Rattus norvegicus: one gene and its partners. The protein of the gene in region 3 purifies or fractionates together with the protein of the main gene of each other region. This does not show direct contact. Links are inferred from orthologs where the notes say so. Each region holds a gene or a part of one and is shown on either strand. Other genes may lie near its edges.

Region 1 (4,045 bases), on a different chromosome or scaffold from region 3:
TCTTTTTTTTTAAATACAGAGTTGGACCCAGGACCACATGCATATTAGGCAAGAACTCTGCCACTTAGCTACATCTCCAGCCACAGGTCTTGCATTTTTAAAATGACATATCTTATTCATAAAAAAATTAAGGCATAAACTGTATGAGAGAAAGGTAAAATCCCAACACAAAATGTTTTACCACTGTACTCTTCTAGTTTCATTGTACATGAACAGCAAGCACTAAATAACTTTTTTTTTCAATTCAAATAAGCTGGCAAAGAACAAGGTTAGGTGCAAATGAGCACACTGAAAACAAAAATCTCAATGGTTATCAACTAGTGAATTGTGCAGATGACTGTGTACCCACATACTGATGGCTGTCAGCAATTCAAACTGGCTGAAGAGTCTGTGAAGCTCCTGCCTAAGAGGCACCAAACCCTGACTTCAATCTGCAGTACCACGAAAGAAAAAACTAGAAGGAAAGAAGAAAATGAGCTATCAATATATCGAAGATGGCTCTCAAAATAGTTACACATACTCCCCCACACCCCACAAATAGAAACATGTAGTACAAGATTCCTTTGAAATAATGCTTCTGTCAGCAGCTAGAGGAAGTACCAAGGAACACAACCAAACTTTGGAGGGTGAAGGGTATGTTCATTATTTGATTGTGATGATGAGTCACCAGTGTAAAGCATACCCATGGAACATTTAAAAAAATGTTATTTGCACCACAATTTTATCTTAATAAGGCTATGTTTAAAAGAAGACCTTTTGATTTAAAAAGTGTACTTCTGGCCTTGGATAATATATTTAGATCACCTTCTTTTTCAAACAGATGCACAAAAGTAGAAAGCTGTAAAGTTTCAGTCATGGTAATATATAAACAAAATCTTAATAATCCAAGCTTTTTATAAAAACAACTATAGCTAATACTTTCATAGCTGTTACTATATGCCACATACTTCTTAAAAGATTTTTATTTTTTTAATTATATGTACAGGGGGTGTGCCTCTGTGCCAGTTTGCACATGTGAATGTGAATGTGAATGTAGGCACCTGCAGACTTTGAACACCTTGAGTCCCCAAGAAGCTGGAGTTATAGGCAATTGTGAACTGCCTGACATAGGTGATGGGAACTAAACTCAGGTTCTCTAGAAGAACAGCATACAGCTCTTAACTGCTGAGCCATCTCTCCAGTTCATGCCAGGTATTTTTAAGAAGCTCATTTCTTGTATTAACTTACCTAACTCTCACAGGAGTCCTACCTTACAAGTTAGGAAACTAAAGCCAAGAGTAAGTGATTATCTTTTAGATCCCAGAGCTGGAACTGGTCAGTGAAGGAAGTAGGATATAAAGCCAGGGAGGACGGTTTGAGAACTGATTTTCTTACCCATGTTCACTCTATCACTATCCTTAGTAGCAGCATTGCAAAAACTGCTAGCAAGCAATATTTCAGTATAATAATGTTTTCCTTCATACTCATAAAACATTAGTGTTAGACTCCGCAAAACAAGTGGCATTCATTCTTCTTTCCCACTTAAGACTGTTGAAAAGACATATATGGCAAAGCAAAAATTACTGGGAAGCTGTTTGACAAGGTAACCAATCACTGGGAAGCTAGCTCATCACCCACCCAATCTAATATTCCTCTTTATCTCCATAGGATTTTAAGCAAAGCCAACAAGGAAGGTGAAAAGCAGTCTTACTCCTAACAGCATGAAAAACATAAATGTCTCAAATACCTTAGTATCCTCTAAGCACCATATAGTCTTGATTTCTACCTGCAACTGGTCTGAAGTCTGGTTTAGAAGCTCCCCGGGTGATTGTCATGGGCAGCACAAGTTGAGAACTCCTGATATTGATTTCGCATACAGAAAGACACAGAAGAAAGCTTGGAGCTACCAAAAGCTAAGGTAAGCCACAGTCCAAAGTTTCCAAATCAATATTACATTGTGTCCGAGTGCAACTTCTACTCATTCCAAGTAGCATGCTCCCAGAAGATGCTGACCTGGCTGGTAGATGACTACTCTGAGCAGCAAGGCCACACTAACTGGAGTATTAGCCTCTTGACTTACAATTATGGTTATATACAGTGCCCAAGAAAAGGAGAAGTGAGAACATGAAGTTGCTTGTCCAGCAGTGTTAAGAAACATTAGAACATTATGTTCTTGGTCCCAGCTTAGCATGTATCAAAGCAAGTGAATGAAGTGAATGAAAAAGGATTGAGTTTTTGTTTTGCTTTGTTTTCAAGTTTACTTCTATATTTTATAGCACAGAACTAAGGATTCAACAAATGCAATGTATGAACGAATGAATGAATGAATGGGAAGAATATACAAACATAAAAACTACATCACATCTCTGGGAGCTATATTTACCTCTATTGATGCAGAAAGCCATACATTGATGAAATGATAAAATTTGCTGTTCCATTCATTTGGCTATTTTATTCAATGGAAATTCCCTCAACGTTGTTGGCCCTTTAAATCTCCGTCTCCCTGCACCCTGGTGTTTAACAGTTCTAATGGAAAGAGAAGGAAAACCTACGAGAAAAACTGTGGAAAGTCCCAAAATCCAAAGGAGAAAAATATAGTGGTATATATAAATAAGATGGGCAAACATTTCAGTCCAACTGAGGGAACAGCTAGGATGTCAGAAGTGTCTTACCTATGGTGGCAGGAGGTGGGTTCGGGCTTTATATGTGTTATTACTGTCCAGGGTCACTGGTGGACTAGCACCTGGATGTGAAAACTCAGACTAAAAGGCGGCGGGCCAAGCTTCAGAAGCTTTGGCCTACTTCCTGTTTCCCAGTGTCCCTCGCGCGTTTGAGAATGCAACCGGCGCCCAAACACAAGATGGCATGACGGACTTCACACACTTAGAAGCCAGTGCCAGGACCTACGATGGCGGCGAAGCCCTGGATAAGGTAACAGAATAGCCAGAAGGAACTGCCCAAACGAAAAATGGCTCGCGTCGATGATATCAAAGCTTTATGGAGACCAAAATAAAGATGGCGGCCAAAGCGGATTTTTTTTTTTTCTTAAAGAAGCTGGAAATGCCATGAATACGATTGGCAGATAATGTATCACTGAAGGTCAACGATACGTAGTGATGGACAACAACAAAAGCCGTACTTTCCATGGTATCACAAAACTATAGGGCAGGTGTAGAAAATATTTTTAACGAGGAATATTAAAAGGTTGAAAAATAAAGGTGATTTTCACAGGGTCAGGGAAAAAGTAATTAAAATATGTTTAAACATAATTCCATAATGTTTCGTGTGGCTCAAGAGAACAAAAGACTTATCCCTGAAGAAGAAAAAAAAAAAGAATGGCAAAACCAAGGAAATTAATCAACCGGATCCGGCACTGAATTGGAAACTCCCAACTTCTGCCAAACCAGATCCTTAGACTGGGCGGAAGTTCCCTGCAAGGCGACAGGCTCTGACTGCGCATGCCCGCTCTCCGACGTCTTCGCCGGACCGCAGGGCGGAGCTACTTTCTACAGTTCAGGTAGTCCTGAGAGAGGTGGGAATTGACAAATGAGTGACAGAACGAGGCGCCTTATGATTGGTCAGAGCAGGAAAAGCCACAAGAATGGTGGTAGCTTCATTCATTCTACAAATACCTTTTGAGAGAGCAGAGAGCCGCAAGCTCTGTCGCCTTCTTGGCGCTGTGATGTGTTTTTATACCTTTTCCGTTTTGGTAGTTTGCACAGACAAAATACACGTCGGCCCCGTAAGGTTTCCGGTGACGGCCGCAGCTTTTCTCTGCGGGAGCTGCAGGCAAACCCCGGAAAAGGGGTGCGCGTGGAGTTGCGCATGCGCCTTCCCGCCGCGCAGGGCAAAGGTGGTGGCGCTCTGGTGAATGGTTGGTTGCTGTGCAAGAGCGTTTTCTGGCTTTTGGTGGCGAAGGCGGCCTGGCCGCGAGGTGCAGCTGCTGGTGGGCAGGTGAGAGGGTTCAAGCCGCCGGTGGAGAAGCCCCCTGTGGCCCTGCTGCGTCCCCACATGGGAAGTGGCCGTGACCAAGGGTATTTGGGGGCGGGGATACAGAGGCACCTAG
Region 2 (4,277 bases), on a different chromosome or scaffold from region 3:
ACGTTCCTTTTCTTCAGGTTAATGAGTGACAGTGGCTCTCGCCTAATTATGAAAGTATGTCTTGTCTTGTGACCTCTTGTCCAAGACACCTTTCAGTGCTTGGGAAAAGGCCAGGGGGGAAGCCCAGCCCAGAGAGCCTAGCCTCACAGAGCACATCTTCACTCTTCCCGAAGGCCAGCCTTGCTCTGGGTGATACAGATGTGTGCATAGAACATGAAGCCTTAGGCTCATGTTTCTGTGAAGACAGGCTGGGGAGATGGCTCAGAGGTTAAAGTGCTTGTTATACAAGCAGGAAGACTGGAGTTCAGAAGCCACATAAATACTGGATAGTGACCCACCTATAACTCCACCCTCAGAATGTGGAGGCAGGATGCCCACAAGAAGCTGTGTAGTCAGACTACTTCTATTAGCAAGTTCTGGGCTTGACTGAGAGACCATGCCTTAAACGATAAATCTGAAGTATGATCAAGAAAGAACTTCCATTATGTGCCTCAGGCTCTCACACAGACTCACACATGCACGAGAAGGAAAAAAAGGAAAACTGTCAATAATGCCACAAATATGCAAGCAGTGATAGGACAGGGGTAAGAATGGAAAGTTGCATTGCAACAGAGCCTAGAACAGGACTGTCTGTATGACTCCGGTAGTCATGGGGCTGTTTCATTGCTTTTTAAAGATTTATTTATTTTATGCATATGAGTAAACTGCCGCTATCTTCAGACACACCAGAAGAGAGCAACAGATCCCATTACAGATGGTTGTGAGCCATCATACGGTTGCTGGAAGTTGACCTCAGGACCTACGGAGGAGCAGTCAGTGTTCTTAACCACTGAGCCATCTCTCCAGCCCATGGCTGTTCATTCACTCCTTTTGTTGGTGGTAAGACAGGCCCTCTCAGTGTAGCTCAGGCTGACATCGCAGCAACCCTACTTCAGCCTTCTAAGCACAAGGAGGACAAGCTTGCACAAACATCCCTAATGTAAATTAAAAATATCAGACATGGGCCCTTGGCTCTATTTTCTCATAGTATGAGTCTGGACTCCTCACACATGGAAAGCTGAGGAGGAAGGGTTGCAAAAGGCCAGGTTGAATAAGTAAATTGAATATGCTTAGGTCTTTTGTAGCTGAAGATTCCATACTCAATATTCAATCAACCGGGCATCAAAAATACTCAAAAGTTCACACCTGAATTAAAAAGACCTTTCTGTATGTGATTTTTACCTCAAGCTATATAATTTAACATCTACTTAGGTAGCAATTTTATTGTATTGGGGGTGGTAAATAATCTAGGAATTACTTAACGTATACAGGAGGATAAGCTAGATGTCTAGGTTATCTGCAAATACTTCATCATTTTGAACATCCACAGAGTTTGATATGTTCAGAGACCCTGGAACCAATCCTTCAGCATTAGAGGGATTACTATAATTAAATTAAAACTAAATAAAAATAGAGCTCTTTTCTAAGTCACACTAAACACACTTTAAATGTTCACTAGTCACGAGGTAGTGACCATCACAATGCTGAGGACCGCAGTTAGTGGACTGGATGTAGGAGCTGAAGAAACTGAAGCTACTCAGCTAAATGTAGGAGGCAGGAACAGGACAAATGACAGCAATGGTGAAGAGGAAGGTTTGCAGAGTTTGGTGGTGGCTCAAGCATTATCTGAGCAGGCTAACCTGGGGTGTTAGCCCCATATACAACCAAGCCAAAGTCTTGTTGCAGATACAGGAATGTGTGGGGCTGGCTGGACCAGACAAAATTTGAAGAGGACTGTCAGAGAGGAATGCACAGCAGAAAGAAACCAAGTGGATATGCCAGTTTTAGTCCCTTCCTGTCTTGTTTATCCATCTGTCTGTCATGCATCCTTCCCCCACCTAACAAAGATCCAGTCACTGTACCTACCGGTCCATCTGCATATGCAGACATGGCAAAAAAAAAAAAATGAAACATTTAATATCAGGTAACTTCATTTTCCTTTTTTAGAGACAGGGTTTTTCTACAGAGCCAAGAATTCAGGGATCTGCCTACCTCTGACTCCCAGTGCTGGGATTAAAGTCCTACGCCACTATACCCGGTTTCCATGGGTTCCCTTGGTTCTATTTCAAGCACAGGTTCTCTGACTCTGGAGGAAAAGCAAGCTCGTAGTCCCAATTTTCCCCCAAGCTGCATCAGGACAATTTGTGAGGCAAACCTGATCAAGACCCTGACTATAAGTAAAATTTAAGCCTTTAGAATTTCAGGCCCACAAAGGTCCTGGGACGAAGTCCTTCGGGTGGACGGTCTCTGAACAAGGACTCTTCGAGGATGGGGTCCGAGCGAGTATAGGTCCCTCAGAGGGATGGATGGTCCAGGCACGAAGACCCTCGGAAGATGCACCTTCTGGTATGGGAACCCTCAAAGGGCCGTCGCCCCGATTCACACAAACTCAAGACCCACTAACACACACCGTCCCCTTCAGGGCACCGATATCTGCCACACCGAGATGCATGTGAGGGCACAGGCCTGAGCCCCACCCTCCCGTCCCCGCACCTGTCCCAGTTGGAGTCCCAGACGCCGTGCCCGGGGCGCGCTCCGGTCCAGGCCAGCGGCTCTGTCGTGCGCGTGTCTGCATCCCCGCCAGCTCTCGGCTTCCCTACCGCTACCGCCGAGAAGAGAACAGCGGCCGAGCCACCCGCCAGACCACAGGCCGCCAGCTGAAGAGCCTGCCGGAAAGCCATGCCGCAAGCCGCACGACCGGACGGCGGGATGCCAGGGACACGCTTCCGCTTCCGGCTAGTGGACGTCCCACCCCTTTCCCCGAAACAGCAGGAAACGCGATAAGGAGTGCCACCTGCCGGTGGTTTTAGGGTAGAAGGCGCAGATGCCTGCCCTTTGGCGGGTGAGACTCCAGGGGGACGAAGTCAGTCAGGCATTAGATTTATATGAATTGAAAAACCTCAGGATTGGCTCTTGCTCTAGATCTAAAGTTTTTTGTGTTTTCTTTTGTAATCCTTAAGTGTATACATCTTCCTAACACCTACCATCGCGCCTCTGCCTAGTTGTTATTGATCAAATGACCAGGTCTTTCTGTGTAGGAAAAGTGTCCACCTGCCCTTCCAGTGCTGGCAGTTCTAGACCCTGCCAAATTCAAGGCCTAGGGACTAGACTAGCAGGCCCAGTGACTTATAGGCTTGGGCTTATTGCTCTGGGCTTTAACTACCGACAGGCCCAGCACTTGGCAGCTATTATAATTTTTAGCTTTGAGCAGTAGTGAACAGCAGCAGGCATTTGGTAATAATAAGGTAATAAGGCTCCTGAATGAACCCCTAACCTCAGACATTCTCAGGACCCTTGGCCTTTGACAATGACTAAAATGGCCCTAAAACTCTTAGCAACAGAATCTCTCATTTTTTCCACAGCCTTCTATAACCTCAGCTCTCTATTCTCTCTAGCCTCAGTCAGCCTTTTTGTGTAACCAGCTCAGCCTACCCTACTACTAATAAAAATAAACTAAACTATTTACAAAAATCTTTAAGGCCTGAAATTGTAATATCAAATAAAGGGACACAAGAAGCTGTATTTCCACTGACTGGAAAGTGAGCTTCAGTTGGCTTATATATAAAGAGAAAAGGGATGTGGCAAGGGTCTTAGTCCCAGTCCTGGCAGTCCTTCATGCGTTTGCATCAACCACAGGCTTTCTGCAGAGCCACCGAGGAAGTGCTCTCCATCTGGCTTGGATGAGATTATCGCAAGGTCATCGGCGTTCACCAGCATGCATGTCTTGTTCATACTACTTTTCAGTGTCAGTGGAGGCTGTCTGGACTGATCACGATTGAAGCAAGTGTTCAACAGAAGTTTTGGTGGTCCACTGTGGCTGCAGAGGTGCCTGCATAGTGGGCCCTGATATCTCTCTAAACTGGCTGCCAGGAGGGCAGTGTGGCAAGTTGTCCGTAAGAGTCTGCTTTCCTGACAGGGCCTCAGCCAAGCACCAGAGCAGGACCTGTTAAATGCTTTAATCTTTTACAGGAAGCATCAATAAGGTGCATACATAAAGGCCTAACAAAATCTGTAACAAAATTACAGTATAGTTCTTAACAGTGCTTACTTATTGGCTCCCTGTCCCATGATTTGTATTCTAGATACCTTAAACTATTTGGACTTCCACAGTCTGTCTTCTTGGAACTAGGTGTCTTTTCCTGTTTCTTTTTTCTTTTTTTCTGTTTCTTTTTGCTTCCTCTGAGATGGAATCCTGTGTAGTGTTGGCTGCCTTGGAGTATGCTGTATAGACAAGACTG
Region 3 (3,095 bases):
TGGCCAGGACACATTCCACAAACACCAAGCTTTGTTCTGACCTCCCTGGCCTCTAAGATCAGCTCATAAATCCTTCCCAGGAATCTGTCCTTGATGTCATGGCTTTCTCGTAGTGCTAGGAACTGAACAGAACCTTAGGTATACTTTATCACCAAGCCACACTGCAGCTCCTAAAAGAATGGCTGGCTGATCTTTCTTTCGACGTGGCCTGGCACAACTCTAGGTCAGTGTTAACAAAGCAAGCTGATTCAGTAGGTCCAACAGGCCCAGCCTGGCACTTGTGACACTCCAGGTGACACTGAGACTGTCCCTGGCCTGTTCCCCTGAGCAGCAGCAGCTGGAGTTAGTGCCTGTGCAGACAGTAACAAGTGGCATCTGCATGTGTTCTTAGGGATGTACATCAGCGGACAGTAAGCAGTCAAGGTCAGAACACGTGCAAAGGCGTTGGTGGGCGGCAGGGCGGAGGGCCCCAGCTCACTGTGTGTTCCCCACAGCTTTCCCAGAGAGGAGTGTCTAAGTTTATTGTTTTTTTTTTAAATAAAGCCTTCTTTGTTTTTTATTGCACATCATATAAAACAACTTCACTGTATTTAAAACACATAAGGACATTCACAAGCTGTAGAAATCCAAACTTCTGGGTTTTTTCTGGTCCCAGAGTCCACACTGGGTCAAAGAGGCCTAACACAAATGGGCAGAGCCCACAAACATGCTTACTTTGGGGGTCTTCAAAGCTGTACTGGGCCCTACTCACAGTCCTACTTGAAGAATGCTGGTGACAGTGGCAAGTGTCTGGGCAGGCACAGGGCGGAAGAGCACCTATGACAATAGTGGTGCAGGCTGCCCATCCTGTCTGGTCCGCCGTGGTGTGCTTGGCTGTGCTGGACACTGGCAAGAGAAGAGGCTTGGGTCTTGGCCTGGTCAGCTGGTATGGCCCACTGCCTTTCAGGTACACATAGGATGGGGACCCTGCTTGGGCCAAAGGGGGAAAACTAGTGCTGGCTGAGGGGGGAGGGTCTGCTCTGAGACCAAGGGTGACACACACAGTTAGAGTGCAGAAGACTTCTTGTCCTTTACACAGACACAGGTCCACGTCCTACGACATACTGTGGAGGCCTCCCTTACACTAGGTGCTCAGGCCTCTGGCAGGTCTAACTGGGTGGAGGACGGTCATTTCTGATCCTTTTTCTTTCGGCCCGAGGGCTGCCGCCTCTTCTGTCTGAGCTTCTCCTTGCGGGCGGCAGCAGTCGTGAAGGTGACACATTGAGCATCCAGGATGTCCAGCAGCTTGCCCATGGCCACAGGAATGCCGTTCTGCTTCAGCTCAGCCTGCAGCTCAGCCAGCTGCAGAGGCTGGTACATCAGGACCTTCCTGTGCAGGGCAGGCTGCGAGCAGATGTAGCGCCTCACCGCCTCCTCTGTGTCTGGGGCCTGCATCGCTACCTGTGACGCGGTGACGCCATCCTCCTCATCCTTGTCTTCGCCTACAGACTCCAAGGCAGCCCCAAACTCACCAGAGGAGCTGGAAAGAACAATGGTGTTATGTAACACCTTTTTCTCAGCTCCCAAGACCAGGAACCCCTTTGAGGGATGACTTTCCATGGTTCTGTTGGGCCTGACACGTGACAAGACTCCTTGATGGTGCCCTACAGGTCTCTGTGGTTCTTGGTTCCCTGGCCAGGCCAGTCTAGGTGGGATCTGCCTCCCAATCCCACCCAGAAAGCACAGGCATCTAAGGAAACTACGGGGCTCCTCAGGCCTGTGGGGACTCGGAATGAACACGTAAGCCATGTGGGCGTCCTAGAGAACAGAAATCACGTGCTTTCGGACACTGGCCATTAGGCTTCTCTAATGCCCTTTCAGACCCACCATTCACAGGACACACAGTGTGACAGACCCTGCTGCATCCATTACCTCTGAGAGCTAAAGGAGTTGTCGCTGCCATCCACAGAGGTAGCCATGCACTCCTGGGAGGCTGGGAGCTGGGCGTCACCATCAGGGCGTGAAGGCTCCCCAGCTGGTGACCTGCTCGGGTGGGAAATGCTTTCACCGAGCTGCTCCTCCTGATGTTGAAGGCTCTTCCTTTTACTGGGGCCCTTGGATCTTTGAGTCCGGAGACCTGCAGTGGCCTTGAGCTGGGTGTAACTTCCTGACCTTGAAGGGTTGCAGGTCTCAGTGTTCGATGCCTGGCTGCGAGCTACCCCTGGGGGTACCTGGGAGGACTGGATCTCATCCTCAGAGTCTGACTCCAGAGTCTGGTGAGTGTACTGGAAAATCTCCTTCAGTTTTAGAACCATCTGGCGTTTGGGCAGAGCACGGACTCCAAACCTGCATGTGGAAAGAGATGAACATCAACGTCCAGCAGCAAGGCCCTACCACCACACTCTGCTGCAGAGTAACGTGTGGCTTTAGTGGACTCAAGTTTCACAAGCCCGACTTGCTTAGGTGTGCAAAGCTGACCATGTGGCCACATGCCAACCAAGCCTCCTCTGAAGGCTACCCATGCCAGAAATGTCCCCAGTGTCCTGGGACAGTGGGAGCACTGACTTCACCAAGTATCTGAGACTGAGGAGCACCACTGCTCGGGATGTGGCAGTTTTCACATCGTGGTACAAAATTAAGTCTCCTTACTTGGCTGGCACGGCTAGGGCTCCATTCCTACCAGCATGGAGTAACCACAGGAGTCGTCTGTCAGCGCTAGGAGCTCACGGTTGGTAAGGACGTGGAAAAGCCCAGCCACTCAACCCACTCGAGTCTATGCAGAGCAAACTGCAGGAATTCCTCCCCGGGCTAAGGGTCAAGTGCTGGGTCATCCCACTTGCCCGGCCTGGTTCTTCGCAGGAGACCACCTACGAGGAAGTCGGAGTCACTACCAACCTGTCCAGTTCTCTCTTCAGCACTGGGGTCTCCATGATCGAATACCTTGGCATTGGGGTTACAGGCACTTTGGGGGGCAAGTTCTTTCTCTGGTTAGCACCTTCTGGATAAAACACAAGAAGCACATGATTTAGTGTAAGAGGCATGGGTCTGCCACCACCTTTTGCCCCAGAAGTGTCACCATGGAAAAGGAGAGACCCCAATCAACACTGTGCCCAAGG
Region 4 (2,190 bases), on a different chromosome or scaffold from region 3:
AGACCCACCTGACTGTCTTAGGTCAGGGGCTGCTTAGGGGCATAAGTACTAAGCCCAAAGGGTAAGTTTTCCCTCTGCCATACCTGCATGCGTAAAGCACTGGAACAAATACTGCTCTGTGGATGAATAAGTTCCCTCTAACACACCTGCCCTACATAAAGCACTGCACAGGTACTGCTCTGTGGAGGGGCCAGCTCAGCTGTTCAGTCAGGACAGAAGTAGGACAGGTACACAGCTGCCAAGACACTAGCATGAGTTCCCTAGGGGCAGGTCCAACAAACAGAGCTACCCTTTGGAGACAGAATCTGGGAGAACATTGGTTAAAGAAGCCAAGCAAGAGACGAGGGATGCCTACTAAACCCATTCTAGTATAAACTGCCCTTTGAATCTGAGGTTGTGTGTCTAGCCTGGGACCTTGCTTACTGGCAGTTGACTGTGCTTGCTCTCCAAAGGGAAGGCTGTTTCCTGGCTGGTAGCTACATCGTTGGCCTGTTAGCTGGAAGCAGATGTCCTCAAACTGCTGCTTGTGGTGGGGTCGTACAAACTGGTAGAAACCTGTGGGAAGTAGTTGTCTGAGTCTATAGAGTCCATATACTATTACTCTGGACCATGGCTTAACTACTAGGCCGTTTCTCTGGAAAGCAGTCAACCCTGGGCCCTATAACCAGTCCCACCCCCACTGCAGTGGTGTTAACCCTATAGCAGAATTTTGAAAACCAGGGTACCTTTAAGTAGGGTGTGTTTCTTGGGGTCTTCAGCAAAGAGGCAGGTGAGAGAGGCCACTAGGGCTTCAAAGTCATCAGAACTCTTATAGTGCTGCAGGGCCTGGGTAAAGGTGTCAAAGTTAGCTTGGCTCAGTGCTTGCTTCACGGCCACCATGAACATCTTGGCTCTGCCTGCCTGTGTGCCAGCCACTGGTTCCTCCTAGAAGAAATATGACCAAGAGCCCTATTGGAGCCAGCCCTTTCCTCCTGCCTTGGAGGCAGTACAGAGTTTGGGGCCATTCAGGCTATTGCCTGTGAACTATCTACCAGGGCAAAAAGCAGAGCACTGCTAGAGAAACAAGACCCAGTTCTGGTATGTGGTGAAGCTCAGGCCTGTCTGAGATCACACCAAAAGCAGTTGGAAACCTATAGGGAACCTATATGACCCCACAGCAGATGTACCTGTAGAGAAGGGCACTTCTCAACAGGCTGCACTCCACTTGTGTGCATCTCAGATCTATAAAGAACTATGTAAGACAGCTCCCACCCCTACCATTTCCAGCCTTCAACAGGCTCAGGCCCTCCGTATCTAGTGTACTACCAGATGCAACAGCCCTCCTGGGCACTGTTTGAATTGTCTTATAAGCTGGACAAGAACAAAAGCCACCTTTCCAGCAGGTAGGGGTTAATGGCTTAGGATGTAACTAAACTTTGCATCTGAGACTAAGAACACACGGTACCTCCTCACACAGATAATTCAGTGTCCACTCAGAAAGAGCCACCATCAGGCCACTGTTCATTATGGTGGAGGGAATCACAACCATAGACCCCAAACCAAATAATCCTAAGGGTTAGGCTAGATTCCAGCATAAAAGAAAAAGATCTCTTGAGCAGGCTGAGTACAGTGGCACACGCATGTAATCTCAGCAGTTGGGAAGTAGAGGCAAGAGGATGATCAAGAGTTCAAAGTCATTCTTGTTACATAGTAAATTCAATGCCAGCCTTTTTACAACCCTGTCTCAAACTAAAAAAAAAAAAAAAAAAAAAAATGGGAAGGCGGGATTGTCTTTTTAGAGAAAGAATGGCAAACTGGAGGCTACCCCCTTGCTTAGGGGCAATAGGCACCAGAGGCAAGATTCTCACATGTGCCCATAAGCAGCTATCTTAGCTGCAGGAGACACTAACATACCGGATGGTTGACCAGCCTGACTTTCTTCTTTCCTCCTCTTTGCTCAACGGACAGCCTCTTTTCACACCGGAGAGATGGGGTGGAGGAGCTGAGTGCCTGAGGGAAACAGAGCTATGGTCCCAACCCAAACCCAGTTTCCAAAGTACCTTTTGGGTTCTCAGGATCCTTGTCTGTGTCCTGAATAGAGACTTGAAAAGGGGATGCAGGGAAAGGTCATACCCTAATTCTGGTGGCAATGCTGAAATTCTGGCCCTTTTATGTCATGCCCCTTGGCCTTGTCTGCAGGTATTGAGAGGG
Region 5 (3,500 bases), on a different chromosome or scaffold from region 3:
CAAGGTCATCCCCTTGATCTGTAGTCACAGGCAGTTATGAGCATGTGTGTGCTGGGAACTAAACTTGGATCCTTTAGAGAGGAGCAAGCATTCTTTAACTATACTCTCTCTAGTCCCTTAAAAATATTTAAAATATTTTTACATTTATTTGTGTGTGTGTGTGTGTGTGTGTGTGTGTGTACATATGTGACACAGTGAGTTTATGTGGAGGTTAACAGGAGCTAGCTCTCTTCTTCCTCCTTGTGGAGCTACACAGTGAGACCTTGTCTTAAAAACAAACCAACTAACCAAGAGAGCCTTTTAGTCGCAAATGACTTGGCACGGAGTAAGATTCTATAATCTAAAACACAACCTGCTCTGTTAGGGAAAAGCCACTTTTCTCAGAATTCAACATTACCTCAAGGAAAACACAGAGTAAGACAAATGAAGTCAGCAGGCACCAGAACTCTACCGTACAGTTAGAGATCTGTCTTCTAGTAGGAAAATGCTATTGGTGGATCCAACACTTGGTAAACTGACATAAAAGACACCAAGTTTAAAGCCCACTTTGGCTACACAGCAATACAGAACGAGGGTGAAAGGTGGTCCAGAGGGGGAGGGGTGGTCTAATTCCAGCAGTTGGCAGGTTAAAGCAGGAGAACTGGGAGTTTAGAGCTAACACTAGTTACACAGTATTGCAGGCCAGACTACGATAAAACCTTGCCTCAAAAATATAAAGACAGAGAAAATACAGTTATATCTCCGAGCTGAAGTTATACTGCACTCAGAACTGTGGTCATCTTTCCTAAAACACAGATTTTAAAAAGTACATACAATTTAAATAAGAAATAAAAAGGAAGGAAAGGACGGCTGGAGACCTAGGTTCATATGTCCAATCCCTAGGAGCCGCTAGGGGTGAAAGGAGCTGACATCACAGGTCATCCTTTGACCTTGACATGGGTACTGTGGCATGCATGTCTCCATGAGCACACAGCACACACTCAAACACACGATAATCCTAAGTCACATACTTCAGTCAGAACTGCGCAGTGGCCTAAGCGAGAGAGAACACAGAAGACAACTGAGCAGCAACACACAAACCCAGAAGGCAGCGGGATAAAGCACGCTGCGTAGTTAAATAAAGCACCGGCATAAACTCCTTAATAGTCCAACTTCTGCTTCATTTTAAAATAAAAAAATAAAAATTAAAGTCCTGTGTGGTGGTACAAACCTTTCAGTCCTAGCACTTGGGAGGCAGAGGCGGATAGATCTCTGAGTTCAAGGCCAGCCTGAGGGGAAAAAAAGCCTAACCCGAACCCCAAGTCACCAGGGGTTTTCATCCAAGTGAGCCGCCACCACACGAACCTGAGCGCCTCCAAGACTCGGCTTCGTCCACTCCGAGCAGAGCGAGTGCTGTCAGGAGTTGAAGAGGCGCTGTTACAACTACTTCTTGACATGCAAGTCTTCTGGGCTGGTGTCCTCACGATGGAGGTTGCTGACATGATCTCTTGTAGTTGTTTCTGGAAGTTCTCTCTCATCTCCAAGGCCTGGGTCAGAGCTTGAAAGACAGTCAGTCGTCAATAACAATCAAGAGAAGTGTGTCCCCTCCTCTCCTTCTTCTCCCTCCCCCTGGCTGGATTTTGAAGATAGGATCTGAGTGTGGGGTTAGGCTGATCTCCCTCCCCATTGTGATCCCTGCCACAGTCTCTAGAGTTCTGGGATTTCAGACATGCATTACCATACAGTTACAAACGTCTCTTGTCAATCATATCTTAACTATTTTGTCTAGATCTGGTTAAATAAAAACAAAGTTGCCATTTACTGAATATTTATATAGGAATGCAAGGCTAAAATGTCACAAAACACAAAGGCAATCCTGAGGACTGTATCTGAAATACTGAAGACTGCCTTGGCTCAGTCCCTCTGAGTAGTGCCCTGCTTGCTTCTGATCCCTTCTCATTGATGCATACTACAAAGAGTCATATAGTCATTTGTATGTACCTGATTTTTTTCAATAGCTCTGAGGTTTATTTGCTTTGGGGGATGGGTCTTGCCATAGCTCAGACTGGTCTTGAAGGCCGGCTCCTCCTGCCTCAGCATCAAGAATAGGATTAGTGCTGTAAAGCACTGCCCAAGCTTTCACTAATCCCTCTTTGTCTTTCCTTTCCACTACAGACTAGACATTCAAGTAGATACCAAGTAGGAATGTTTGACACGAACAGAATGGAACAGGTAAGTGAGAAAGCAAGTTCTAATAGGCAGGCTGAATAAGGAAGCCAGAGAGTAACCTGTCAGAAGAGAACCCACACATCTAAATAAGGTAATCAGTGCAGCGCTATCTGTATTAGTAAGAAATTCAAAATAACTTGCTAATGCAAGAAACAGCAAAATAAAGCACAAGCCACACACTAAACCACCAAACAAAACCCAAGACTGAAGCAGCTCCCGATTCCCAGACATGGTCTATGGCTTCGGTGCACACCCTCCTGTGTGTGGAGTGCTGTCAACTCCTAAGAGATGAGGCCTAGCCTAAGGTAGCTGGGTCATGAGGAACACTGCCTGCCCCAGAAGCAATTAGTGCAGTTTTCAGGGGCCTCAGGCTGGTTTTGTTGTAGGTTGCTCCGCTGGTCTACCCTGCTTGCAGTCTTTCTTGTGATGACACTCACCCACTTGCACTCTTTCCCTTCCTGATAAACTCTCCTGACATACCAGAAGGTCTTCATCAGAGTCCAAGCAAGCTTAGACTTTCATTTTCTAAAGCTGTTAGAGCTAAAAACGTACCCTTTATCTAGGTTACCCCAGGTGTAGTTCTACAGCAACAGAAAACACTGAAACATTGCTCTTTTTTAGAAAAAAAAAGAAAAGAAAAGAAAAGGCTGTGAACCATGTATTAACAACTGTCCAAGTCTTCCAAATGATTCTGTTGGTCGGTCGCCTGTAGCCAGTGACCACTGATGTTGCTACTGTGTGCCCCACACCTACACAAGTGGCACACCTGACTGGCTGCTCCCCATCTCTTTCCTTCCTACGACTTCCTCAACCCCCAAGAAACAACAGTACTAAAACTAGCTTAATTAACATCCAGTGGCTTAAGTGCCAGGCGAAAAGAGTCACACTCCTCTCTTTAGCTCTAAATGACCAAGGTGAGTGAAAAAGGGATGTATGAAAGCCAAGTTAGGTCAAAGGCTATGCCTCTTATGCTGAACAGTCAAGCTGTGAATGCAAAGAGAAAATTCTCAGAAGAAATTCACAGTGCTACTCCAGCGAGCACACAGCTTCTCATGGACACGAGGCTGCAACTGACTGCCCTAAGCAGATGACTCAGACCGGAAGAAGATGCCTCTCCAGGGCTATTGGAGAAGTCGGTGTCTGGCTTCAAAGCTAGACGGCCAACCCAGTTCTTCTATTAGCGGCAAAATGCACGTGGGACTTCAAGTCAAAACCAACAAGTGGAAAGTGCGTTTGGCTTGTGGTGCAGGTCTTTAATCCAGCACTTGGAAGAAAGAGGACGGTGATCTCTG
Region 6 (3,500 bases), on a different chromosome or scaffold from region 3:
TCTCAGATTTTTACTTCTTTGGACCCTAGTAGCACCATGCTGCCTTTAACTTGTAACAAAACTACATTGCTGATCTACAATTAGTCTGCGATTAGCTATAACACACAAAACTGTTTTGTACACCAATTAATTTCATGCTGCTTATAACTTTACTGTTTCAACATCATATTGTGGCTCCATTTTCTTCTAAGGATTAGCTAAAGATTCAGAGACTCAAAGTCCACTTCTAAGACTGTGAATCATGGCAACAGGAAGGAGACAAGCAGGAGTGCTCAGACACTTCCTTCAAGATCATCTTACATCAGAAGCTCCACAAGTCTCCTGCATACTCCTGCATCGATGACTGCTTGGATTTTATCATTGGGTCCATCTGACAGGTATGAGAGAGCCCAGCAAGCATCAGCCAGTACATCAGTGTCACTGACAAACAGCAACCAAGAAAGGACATTCAGACAGGGAGAAACCTGGTTTAAAAAAAAAAAAAAAGAAAAGAAAAAAAAGATGATTACAACTGCTGGAGTGAGATAAGACTCTCAAGAAGCTTACCAGATAGATGCTGGGTGAGTTACACTTCTAGTTAGGAACCGTCAAGTCTCTGAAGGACATTTCTATCTCTGGCAATGTGGTCAATAGGTATTCAGTTTACTAAACTGAGGATGTCAGAACACAAGAAAACTGATTTCAAGAAGAAAACTTTTATGCATTCTTCCTTAATACACACTTCCAACAAGGAGGTAAAGGAACTTCCACAAACACTACTGCTGAGAACTTCTGTTGCAGAACTTTGTTATCCACAAAAACTGCTACAGCCCTAAACGTAACATAGAGCTTCATCCCAGCACTGAGAAACTACACTAAATTAAAAACGAAAACAAACTACCAAAAGCATTTTCTCTACAAACCAGTACATTTTCTAACACTCTAAATAATTTTATCAAAAATTGTCCTAGCCAAGTGGTGATGGTTCATGTCATCCCAACACTCAGGAAGCAAAGGGAGGCAGTTCTCTGTGAGTTCAAGGACAGCCTTGGACTCAAGTTCTGGGACAACCAAAGCTACAAGAGAAACCCTATCTTGAAAAACAAACACAAAGCAAACAAAAATCCCTTTCTGTAAACATTAATATTTAAGAGCAGTATTCCCTAACAATTTCCCACAAGCGTAGTATTTACCTTAGCAAATTCTGGAGGTGGACTCTTCCCTCTACATAGATTAGATAAAGCCCACACTGCATTCCGGGTCATGGTCAAGCGGTTTTGCTTTGAAAATAACCTACAAGTATAATGGTTCCATGGTAAGTTCTAAGATACTAATTCTCTAGAAAGGAATTAATACTACTGATAAAGGATTCTCTAACTTTTCTCCAGAACAATAAAGATTCATCCCTTTCCTACATTACTCACTCTTTGAAGATAAACTTCACTAATTTTTATTCACTATTTCAGAATTTCAGTAAGAGACATCACCCTAACAATGTAACAAGATACTGGAAATCAAAATAACACTAGGAAATCCAAAATGATGTCCCAAGATATAATACTTCTCATATCAAAAAAAAAAAAAAAGAAAGAAAAAAAAGAAAAAAGGAAGAAGACGACACTTACTGCAGCAGAGGGGGAAGGATATTGCAGTCTAAGACGTAGTCCCTGCACATGGTGCTATCTCCAGCAATGTTGCCAAGAGCCCAGACTGCCTGTGAAGTAAAGTTGTATACTTTCATTCCCTCACAATTCTTTAAAAGGGATGCCAGCATACCATAGTAACATTTTACAAAATCAATAATAGTTCACCAACATTTTATATAAAGACTATTATTAACTCTTAAAACCACTCATCAGGGAGTCAAAGCAGTTCCAGGATTAGAGTTAGAAAATATGTGACTATGTGGAAAAGCAAAAGGAAATGTTCCACTAAAGTGAAAGCTTACAAGTAAGAGAACTTTTCCCAGAGCTGGGAATTGAATTCAGGACTTCACACAATTGCTGGCACTGAACAATTGCCCCACTACTAATAAGATGTACCCCCAGTCTGGAGGCAATTATTTTTATAGGATCCCATCCTCCCTCATAAGTAATATTTTATAGTCCTCTGCACAGAACAAGGATTTAAATGGCTTACTTGGTAGATTAAAAATGTACTTAAGGTTGCTTTTAATAGAAAACTCTTAAGCACATAACCAAAATAAAAATATAGGTGTTTATTAAACTTGTGAAAGTTTAATAACAATGGTCTCACAGGTGTACATGCCACACTGTACAATTTTTATTTTAAAAAGAAGACAGCTAAAAGCTGCAAGAATGCCATGGTTGAAAGGGAAATACTAGAGGATTTTTCCTATTTAAACAAGCTATGACTCACTGTGATGGAGTAATCTAAATGAAGCTGGGTGTGGCTACGAGAATGTGAGCTCTCTTATCTGTGTGACTGCTGAGACCTTACCTGCTCCTGGACATCTTCAAACTCTGAGCTAAGCAACTCGATGAAGATAGGAACAGCTCCTGCCTGAATCACAATCCGGGTCTGAAGAGAGTTTCCTGAAGCAATATTTGTCAGGACCCAAGCTGATTCAAACTACAAAGACAAAAGTAAGTTCCATTACCTTATTAAAATTTAGAAGGTTATTTACATAAAGAAATACAGTATTTTGAACATAAAATAAAAGTCTGGAGTCAGACTGGGACTATTATTGGCATATTGTAAATACCATGTTCATTTAAAATAGTTTCCAGAATACCTCAGTCTATGAAAGGAATATTTAAAGGTATCTAAAATTTCAGACCAAAGTATAATTACCATGAAACCACAGGGGAAAAAAATGTGTTTCATAAGTTTATATGAAATGATCTCTAATGAAAGGAACAAAATGACAAATAATATACTTCAATACAGTTAAAATACCATTTCATTAAAAGGTTAAAAGGGAATAAACACATTAATATACATATTGTACACATAATCTCTAGACAGTCACAAGAAACCATCATAAGCTTACACAGACAGGCCTAGATGATTATGAAATGGCCTGGAGCTCTCTATGTAGACCACACTGGCCTTGAAATCAAGAGGTCTGCCTGCATCTGCCTCCCAAGTGTCAGGATTAAAAACAAGTGCCACTATACCCAGCAGCTAAAGGTAAGTTTCTTACAAGAAAAAAGAAAAAGAGGAGGGGGGGGGAGATGAAGAGGTGGTGGCAAAGTTGAACGGAGGAAAAGTCGGCCTAGTATTACAGCACTGGTAAGGAGAAATGAACTTATGGCCAACAATTACAGCTATTACCAATTTCAGAGATTCTTAATTTTCTCTTTAGCTTAACATTAAGAAATCCAAAAGTAATTCAATCAAGACTCCTGAATTTTGGGGTTGGGGATTTAGCTCAGTGGTAGAGTGCTTGCCTAGCAAGCGCAAGGCCCTGGGTTCGGTCCCCAGCTCCGGGAAAAAAACAAAAAACAAAAACAAAACAAACAAACAAAAAAAAAACTCCTGAATTTTATTAGGTTAAT

Evidence for each region.
Region 1: the proteins of Slx4 (region 3) and Slx4ip purify together in Homo sapiens (affinity purification with mass spectrometry; 6 studies listed by BioGRID and IntAct, with this or other methods). This does not show direct contact. The link is inferred for Rattus norvegicus from reciprocal best matches to the Homo sapiens genes SLX4 and SLX4IP.
Region 2: the proteins of Slx4 (region 3) and Pgam5 purify together in Homo sapiens (affinity purification with mass spectrometry; 4 studies listed by BioGRID and IntAct, with this or other methods). This does not show direct contact. The link is inferred for Rattus norvegicus from reciprocal best matches to the Homo sapiens genes SLX4 and PGAM5.
Region 4: the proteins of Slx4 (region 3) and Rtel1 purify together in Homo sapiens (affinity purification with mass spectrometry; 3 studies listed by BioGRID, with this or other methods). This does not show direct contact. The link is inferred for Rattus norvegicus from reciprocal best matches to the Homo sapiens genes SLX4 and RTEL1.
Region 5: the proteins of Slx4 (region 3) and Topbp1 purify together in Homo sapiens (affinity purification with mass spectrometry; 3 studies listed by BioGRID, with this or other methods). This does not show direct contact. The link is inferred for Rattus norvegicus from reciprocal best matches to the Homo sapiens genes SLX4 and TOPBP1.
Region 6: the proteins of Slx4 (region 3) and Kpna1 purify together in Homo sapiens (co-immunoprecipitation; 3 studies listed by BioGRID and IntAct, with this or other methods). This does not show direct contact. The link is inferred for Rattus norvegicus from reciprocal best matches to the Homo sapiens genes SLX4 and KPNA1.

Annotation. Positions count from the first base shown.
Region 1 is NC_086021.1:144,672,602-144,676,646, reverse strand, and holds the start of Slx4ip (protein SLX4IP), read right to left. Parts: upstream 2,801-4,045; 5' UTR 2,652-2,800; intron 2,506-2,651; exon of another isoform or gene 2,363-2,505; intron 455-2,362; exon of another isoform or gene 350-454; intron 1-349.
Region 2 is NC_086030.1:52,067,546-52,071,822, reverse strand, and holds the start of Pgam5 (serine/threonine-protein phosphatase PGAM5, mitochondrial), read right to left. Parts: upstream 2,801-4,277; 5' UTR 2,721-2,800; coding exon 2,533-2,720; intron 43-2,532; coding exon 1-42. UniProt on the Homo sapiens protein: Mitochondrial serine/threonine phosphatase that dephosphorylates various substrates and thus plays a role in different biological processes including cellular senescence or mitophagy. Modulates cellular senescence by regulating mitochondrial dynamics.
Region 3 is NC_086028.1:12,053,091-12,056,185, reverse strand, and holds the end of Slx4 (structure-specific endonuclease subunit SLX4), read right to left. Parts: intron 2,978-3,095; coding exon 2,875-2,977; intron 2,326-2,874; coding exon 1,912-2,325; intron 1,520-1,911; coding exon 1,168-1,519; 3' UTR 501-1,167; downstream 1-500. UniProt on the Homo sapiens protein: Regulatory subunit that interacts with and increases the activity of different structure-specific endonucleases.
Region 4 is NC_086021.1:188,838,998-188,841,187, reverse strand, and holds part of Rtel1 (regulator of telomere elongation helicase 1), read right to left. Parts: intron 1,990-2,190; coding exon 1,894-1,989; intron 925-1,893; coding exon 726-924; intron 556-725; coding exon 415-555; intron 1-414. UniProt on the Homo sapiens protein: A probable ATP-dependent DNA helicase implicated in telomere-length regulation, DNA repair and the maintenance of genomic stability. Acts as an anti-recombinase to counteract toxic recombination and limit crossover during meiosis.
Region 5 is NC_086026.1:112,794,291-112,797,790, reverse strand, and holds part of Topbp1 (DNA topoisomerase 2-binding protein 1), read right to left. Parts: intron 2,068-3,500; coding exon of another isoform or gene 1,991-2,067; exon of another isoform or gene 1,981-1,990; intron 1,538-1,980; coding exon 1,345-1,537; intron 1-1,344. UniProt on the Homo sapiens protein: Scaffold protein that acts as a key protein-protein adapter in DNA replication and DNA repair. Composed of multiple BRCT domains, which specifically recognize and bind phosphorylated proteins, bringing proteins together into functional combinations.
Region 6 is NC_086029.1:78,242,132-78,245,631, forward strand, and holds part of Kpna1 (importin subunit alpha-5), read right to left. Parts: intron 2,572-3,500; coding exon 2,440-2,571; intron 1,694-2,439; coding exon 1,605-1,693; intron 1,273-1,604; coding exon 1,173-1,272; intron 465-1,172; coding exon 301-464; intron 1-300. UniProt on the Homo sapiens protein: Functions in nuclear protein import as an adapter protein for nuclear receptor KPNB1. Binds specifically and directly to substrates containing either a simple or bipartite NLS motif.